Pelodiscus sinensis: one gene and its partner. The protein of the gene in region 1 purifies or fractionates together with the protein of each later gene. This does not show direct contact. Links are inferred from orthologs where the notes say so. Each region holds a gene or a part of one and is shown in the gene's direction. Other genes may lie near its edges.

Region 1 (3,747 bases):
AATATAACTTAACAGAAAAACTACAGTAATTCCTCATTTAACACTATAGATATGTTTCAGAAAATGATCATGTTAAGTGAAAACATGTTATGTGGGGTCAATTTTCCCATTGAAAATAATGGAAAAGGTGGGGGGTTGCGTTTCAAGCCGTGGTTTCTGTTAGGACCAAGACATAAGGTTGGGGGAGAAAGGGGACTGGGTTATAGCAGGGAGGGGATTATTGGGAGCTAGTGGGTCTGTGCTTTCACAGCTACAGGCCACCTGTAGAAACATGGGTGTTTTACAAGTGAGCAAAGAGTAGGGTTGCCAGGTGGCTTCAACAAAAATACTGGACACACTTGACATTACATCACAATCGACATTACATCTTATTTAGAAAATACCAGACATTTTCTCAATTTGATTCCTGAAGAGAAATATAACTGTCTGGTATTTTCTAAATAAGATGTAATGTCGATTGTGATGTAATGTCAAGTGTGTCCAGTATTTTTGTTGAAGCCACCTGGCAACCCTACTCTTTGCTCACTTGTAAAAGACCCACGTTTCTACAGGTGGCCTGTAGCTGTGAAAGCACAGACCCACTAGCTCCCAATAATCCAGGCAGGAACACAGCTAGTGCATGTGGCAGGCATGGAAGCTGAGCAGCTCCATGCACTCAGGTAGGCTTACCAAGGCGGGCAATGAAAGACACAGAGCCTGCTGTAAAGGCACCAGGGTGGTTTCTGGTCCGTGCATCTGGAGCAGCAGAGTTTAAAACCGAGGAGCCAGGCAACTGGGGCAGCATGGGGCGGGGTCACCGCAGCGCTGCATCGTGCTCCGTAGGTTGGCGAGGCCTCTAGCCGTGGAGAAGGCGGTTTTCCTGCCTGCCGCTGCTCTGCGGGCTGGGTGCGAGCAGGCACATCCACGAGCAGGTCAGCACAGGGGAACGAGCAGCGCCTAGGGGAGCCCAGGCCCCGGCTACCGGGACAAGGGGGAGCAGCCCGACAGCCTCCTGCCAGGCTACTTCCCGCCCCAGGGACGGCGAGCTCGCCTCTGCGCGCCGCTGGCAGCCGGCCCCTGCTCCCCGGAGGAGAAGGGCGGCCCCCAGTGGCGGGAGAGGGCGCGCGGGCTGTCACAAGGCCCGCCTCAGGCCGCGCTGCCCTGCTGGAGCCGGGCTCGCCCCGCCCCCTTTGGCTTGCCAGCTCCCAAATGGCGGTTTGCGTGTGGTGCAGGGGGTGGGGTTCTCATGCATGGCTCGGCGGTCGAGGCAGGCAGGGGGCGGGGGGGAGGGGAAGGCTAAGTAGCCGAGCGTCGGCTTGATCGATGAGCTCATGAGAAATGTCTCTCGGAGGCTGAGGCCGCCATTTTAGATGGGGAGCGGAACGAGCGGCGGCGAGTGAGGAGCGAGTCGGGGGAGCCAGTGTGGGAGAGGTACGGGCAGTGTGGGGGCCCGAGCCCTGCGGGGCACGGACAGCGGGGGGTCCCCCTTCCTCGGCCGGGCGCTGCTTCCTAGCTCCTTCCCCTGGAGCCGAGTCAGCGGCTCCCTGCCCCGTCGCTGAACCCCGAGGACACTGATCCGCCTGGGGAGGAGACGCCGCCGCCCCGCTGGGGAGCGGTGTCAGCGAGTGACCCTCTCGTCCCTCGGCATGGGCGGAGGGCCCTGCGCGGCGGCTGCGCCAGGAGCGGCGAAGGGACGGCACGGGGCGGGGGCGGCCCCTTCAGGGCGAGGGGGGCCTGCAGCTGGACCCCTTCCCGCTCGGGGCCTGAGCTGGGCGCCGCAGGCTGCGCAGTGGCACCGCGGAAGGTGCCAGGAGGGGGAGGGGGCGCCTCCGTCCCTAGGCGCTGCGGGCCAGGGGAGGGGCTGCCAATCCCGGCTGATGGCGGGGCAGTTTCCTCTGGCGAGCCCGCAGGGGGTGACTGGGAGCCGAGCGAGTATCCCTCCTGCGGGGAGCGGGGCTGCAGGAAGGGGTTTGCTTGGGACGCGAGCCTAGTGGCTGAGGAGTGTGTGGGGCATGCGTGCTGTGCAGCTGAGCCCTTCCTGCTTAGGTTTGTTCCTTCTTTGCCATATTGGTTTGTTGTTTAAATCCTCACGCACTGTTTACTGCGTCTGGCGGGACAGGTGAGCAGTGGGTCTCTGGAGTGCTACCCTGAGAGAGGATGAGATGTGTTTAAGTGCACTGAAATGAGCTGTAGGAATACTGCATAGAACTAGAGACTGTTGTGTCAAGTATCTAGTGATCTGTGAGCACAGTAATAGCCCCTTCAACTTCAGAGCCACCTTGATTTGCTCTGCTTCATTGAGAACAGAAAGTGTGGGAATCTTCTTATGGGTAAATGAATCAGTTGTCAAACACTGGGCTCGTTGGTTAACTGTCAGGGTCCCAGTACACATGGGTCTCACATACCCTGGTTCCTGGGGAGCCACCTAGCCCCCCCCTCAGTCAGCGGGGGGGGGGGGGGCATTCCATGTAGGAAGCTGACTCCTCCCCTCGACCATAGGAACTTTCGGTAATTACATGTTTACTTAATTAAACACATTTTAAAATCCCTAGGCAAACCATTGCGTGTACATTGGTATTGCAGTTTTTGTGCTACCTCCTTTGGCTTCATTTAAACCACTTCTCAGTTGACTTGAGCTCAAATTAAATAAACCTTTTGTGAACTAAATAAGAGTGTGTCTACAGAACTTTTAAATACTTGAACCAAATATGCAATAACTTGTTAAACTGGGGCACCTTTGCAATGTAGACAAGGTCTTTCGCTAGAGCAGAACGTAACGATTATATTGTTACATAGAGCACATGTAGCTAAGGTTCTGGTAGGCGTACAAATGTGCCTCTAAATAGCATCCGCTTGTCTGTTAGCTCAGATTCTGAAATGTACATCCCTGATGTTGCTTTCCACCTTAATAATGTCTGAATTTTGTTCATAAATAAAAGGATTTTGTCTGAGGCTCTAGGGCTTCAGAACCAATTGAAATGGAATTGTCAAACTGGGAATGTGTTTCAGACCTGTAAGAGGCAGTTGGAGATGGTCTTATGTATGCAAAGAAGGGAAGAAAACTGAGTGAGGGTTTGCACATTTTATTTGCCTGGAGTGCTGCAGAAAGTCAGGCCAGGCATGGTGGCTGGAAAATATTTGAGAGAGACTGTATAAAAGAAGATTAAAAATGTCATTTGTTTTGAAAAGCTTGTAAATGGCTAATATTTAGGGCCCTACCAAATTCATGGCCATGAAAAATGCATCGTGGACCATGAAATCTGGTTTTTTGTGTGCTTTTACCTTATACTTACTATACAGACTTCATGGGGGAGATCAGCATTTCTGAAATTGGAAGTCTGACCCAAAAAAGGGAGTTCCAACAGAATTGCAAAGTTTTTTTAGGAGGGCTGCAGTATTAATACCCAGCTTTGAAGACAGTACAGAAGTGTGGTTGGCTGGATAGCAAAGGCTGTGCCCTACCAGCAGCAACACAGAAATAAGGGTGGCAATACTATACAATGCCATCCTTACTTTTGTAGTGCTGCCATCGGAGTTGGGTGGCCACAGCATGGCTGCTGTTGATTGAGGGCCCAGCTCTTGTAGCTAGGAACACAAAAATAAGGGTGGCAAGACCGCATTGTGCCATCCATATTTCTGCACTGCTGTTGCTGGTGGTGGTGGCTCTTTCTTCTGAGCTGGGCTCCTGGCCAGTGACTGCCCTTCAGCTGTATAACTCTGAAGGCAGTGATGCCACTACCAGCAATGCAGAAGTGAAGGTAGCAGTAC
Region 2 (3,747 bases), on another chromosome or scaffold:
GTGCGGGGGGTATTGGGGAGAGGGGGGGCCCTGTGCGGGGGGTATTGGGGAGAGGGGGGGCCCTGTGCGGAGGTGGACGGGGGTATTGGGGAGAGGGGGCCCCCCTGTGTGGGGACATGGGGGGGTGCCCTGTGCCGGGGGTATTGGGGAGAGGGGGGGCCCTGTGCCGGGGGTATTGGGGAGAGGGGGGGCCCTGTGCGGGGGGTATTGGGGAGAGGGGGGGCCCTGTGCGGGGGGTATTGGGGAGACTGGCAGTCTGAGGCTCCCTTGGTCCCTTGCGGGGAAGCTTTGGCTGGGCTGGGGCGTTCCCACAGGAGATGGAGCTGCTGGGGGACAGGGTCGCCTACTCTTTCTAGTGGCTTGCTGGGGCAGAGGGGATATGTCCCACTTCTGCCTTTGTGCTTTTTTTCTCCCTTACTGGAATGCAAAGGAATAAACATTCCAAAGCTACAGCAAGATGTGGTGGGACAGAGTCCGGGAACTGGGCCACTGCTGTTAAACAGCATTTCCGCTTCCACCTCTACGTATTTGCTCCCTCCATTCACCATCCTCTCTTGTACTTCTGCCCTTCAGAGAGCTCTCTTCAAAAAGACCCTTGGATTCCCCCCACCACAACCCAATCAATTCTACTCTTGGTAGTAGGACAAACAGATACCTTACAGTGTTCTCACTGTGCCTAGATGTCCTGCTGGCATGAGGGGCATCGGAGGAGGTTGGGTTATTTCTAAGAAAATAAAATTCTTGCTCATTTAGCCAGAAAATCCTGGAAGGGTGGTGATGCCTATCAGGTGTCACAGGTATAGGTTTACAATCCATATTCAGCTTGAATTGGTAAAAAGGAAAGACTAATAGTTGTTCCCATTTGGTGGCCTTTCAGTAGCCTCTGCTAAATGGGCTGTCAGTCCAGTTCCTGGTAGACAGGTTGCAAAAACCATGTCCACAGTTAGCCTGAACTGGCAAACACTCTGGCATCCAGAGCAAGATCTAAAAGGGGATCAAAATATCCCTGGCTTTAAAAGGTGAGCACAACAGCTGTCCAGACTCCTGCTGTAATTGTTAGGTAGATACAGCTTAAAAGAAAATCTAGGGGTTTGCCAATTTCTTTTGGTGCCCCTTCTTCCATTCCTGATCTTTTTTCCTTCCCCCAAAAAAGGAGGCCCTTTGGTGAGCTACTTACGACTCTTTATCTGTTAATAGGATCATGGCAAAAGCGGGAGGAAAAGGAGTGAACCTGAAAGACAAACTTGATGGCAATGAACTGGACTTGAGCCTGAGTGACCTGAATGAGGTGCCAGTCAAAGAGCTGGTCAGTATCAGTCTTTTCTGGGAAGTGTTAGGCTGTGTCTACACTGGCCACTTATTCCGGAAAATCAGCCGCTTTTCCGGAATAACTTGCCAGCTGTCTACACTGGCCCCTTGAATTTCTGGAAGACCACTGACGATCTACTGTAAAATCATCAGTGCTTTTCCGGAAAAACTATGCTGCTCCCGTTCGGGCAAAAGTCCTTTTCCGGAAAACTGTTCCGGAAAAGGGCCAGTGTAGACAGCACAGATTTCTTTTCTGCAAAAAAGCCCCGATCGCGAAAATGACGATTGGGGCTTTTTTGCGGAAAAGCATGTCTACATTGGCACGGATGCTTTTCCAGAAAAAGTGTTTTTCCGGAAAAGCATCCTGCCAATGTAGACGTGCTTTTTATGGAAATACTTATAACGGAAAACTGTTCCATTTTAAGCATTTCCGGAAAATCATGCCAGTGTAGATGTAGCCTTAAGGTATTGCAGGGGAGCTTTTGAGATTACACTTGGTCTTTGTGAATTACAGATTGGTCCAGGAAGGGGTGGGGTTGAGGTCTGGGGATGCATTGGGCCCTGTGTACATTTTGTTTTTTACCAGCTCAAGGTAATGCCAATTCAGTATTTAAAGGCACACTCACACTGTTTCTCCTGGTTTGAAGAAAAAAGGGAAGATAAGGATATGCAACCTTGAATCTTTCCTGTTGTTTTGACTTTGGGGATTGATGTGACCTGAAGAAAAGTGTGTTCCTATTGATCTAATCTGGTTTAATCCAGATTGTGTATTAAATGGAGGCTTTGGGTGAAAGAACCTATTTCAGTGGGAGCAGTGCTCATAAAACCCTGACTTTGAGTGAGATGTAAGAGAGTTGCAAAAATAATTTGAATGGTGGCAACTGGGAAATTCTTAAAACTCCATGTATGGGAGAAATCCCAAAAAACTTAAATATAAGCAGCAAAGTATCAAACATGTTAAAGAACTGTAACTTTGATAAGTCTCAGGTATCTGTGTTAGTCTGTATCTGCAAAAACAAGGAGTCCTGTGGCACTTTAAAGACTAACAGATTTATTTGGGCATAAGCTTTTGTAAAACCCACTAAATTAGAAAAGCAGATATAATATATATATATATAATCTCAATATCATACATGTATATCAAAAGAAGGGAGTTATCAAGTGTAAGACCAGTGTTAATGAGCCCAATTCAGTCACTGGTCAAACTCTTGATAAGTAACTCCCTATACTAGTACATATATATCCCTATCTCTGTAATTTCTACTCCAGTGCATCTGATGAAGTGGGTTTTACCCATGAAAGCTTATGCACAAATAAATATATTAGTCTTTAAGGTGCCACGGAACTCCTTGTTGTTTTTGTAGCTTTGATATAGGTTTAATTTGGTTCCTTGGCTCTTTTTCAGGCTGCCCTTCCAAAGGCTACCATATTGGATTTGTCCTGTAACAATCTCACTTCCTTACCGGTAAGAGGAGAGAAAAGCTTTGTGGAAGAGGGTGGGATCTGCTTGAAAATATCTGTAGAAGGATACTAGCCTTCATGGGAGGATGAGGTGGGAATTTGATAACTAGCAGTTATGTTAGCTTCTTATGTTAGCTGGAGTACTGTGTCCAGTTCTGGGCGCCACATTTCAAGAAAGATGTGGAGAAATTGGAAAGGGTACAGAGAAGAGCGACAAGAATGATCAAAGGTTTAGAGAACATGACCTATGAAGCCAGGCTTCATGAACTGGGCTTGTTTAGTTTGGAAAAAAGAAGATTAAGGGGGGACATGATAGCGGTTTTCAAATATCTAAAAGGGTGTCACAAGAAGGAAGGAGAAAATTTGTTCCTCTTGGTTTCTGAGGACAAGACAAGGAGTAATGGGCTTAAAGTGCAGCAGGGGAGGTTTAGATTGGACATTAGGAAAAAATTCCTAACTGTCAGGGTGGTCAAATATTGGAATAAATTGCCAAGGGAGGTGGTGGAATCTCCCTCTCTGGAGATATTTAAGAACAGGTTAGATAGACATCTGTCAGGGATGGTGTAGATGGAGCTTGGTCCTGCCTTGAGGGCGGGGGGCTGGACTCAATGACCTCTCGAGGTCCCTTCCAGTCCTATTATTCTATGATTCTTGGGAGGATAAATGACATTGCCCCTGTTATAGAGGGGCCTTTAGAGGTGACTAACTTTTACTGAGGTTGGCTGGCATAGCACAGTGCTCTTACAGAAAATGAATGTACTCAGTGATAGCAGCTTCTATTCCAAAGTGCTCTACCAGCTAGATACCAAAAGCATCTGTCTTATGTCCATTGTAATTATATTGCTATATATAGCCCTGTTTAGGAGACTATCCACTGCTCCCTACATTACAGTCCTAGGGTACGTCTAGATGTAGAGGAGGAAGAGGGTAGCTTTCCCTCATAACACAAACAGCTTTGTGTGAAACCCATGTGAATCT

What was found. Proteins that work in one complex are often made in the same cells at the same time.
Region 2: the proteins of RAF1 (region 1) and LRRC59 purify together in Homo sapiens (affinity purification with mass spectrometry; 3 studies listed by BioGRID and IntAct, with this or other methods). This does not show direct contact. The link is inferred for Pelodiscus sinensis from reciprocal best matches to the Homo sapiens genes RAF1 and LRRC59.

Annotation. Positions count from the first base shown.
Region 1 is NC_134721.1:47,893,379-47,897,125, reverse strand, and holds the start of RAF1 (RAF proto-oncogene serine/threonine-protein kinase), read left to right. Parts: upstream 1-887; 5' UTR 888-911; exon of another isoform or gene 912-1,207; intron 1,208-1,265; exon of another isoform or gene 1,266-1,410; intron 1,411-2,001; exon of another isoform or gene 2,002-2,025; intron 2,026-3,747. UniProt on the Homo sapiens protein: Serine/threonine-protein kinase that acts as a regulatory link between the membrane-associated Ras GTPases and the MAPK/ERK cascade, and this critical regulatory link functions as a switch determining cell fate decisions including proliferation, differentiation, apoptosis, survival and oncogenic transformation.
Region 2 is NC_134730.1:13,989,720-13,993,466, reverse strand, and holds the start of LRRC59 (leucine-rich repeat-containing protein 59), read left to right. Parts: upstream 1-781; 5' UTR 782-933; coding exon 934-1,019; intron 1,020-1,197; coding exon 1,198-1,306; intron 1,307-2,713; coding exon 2,714-2,773; intron 2,774-3,747.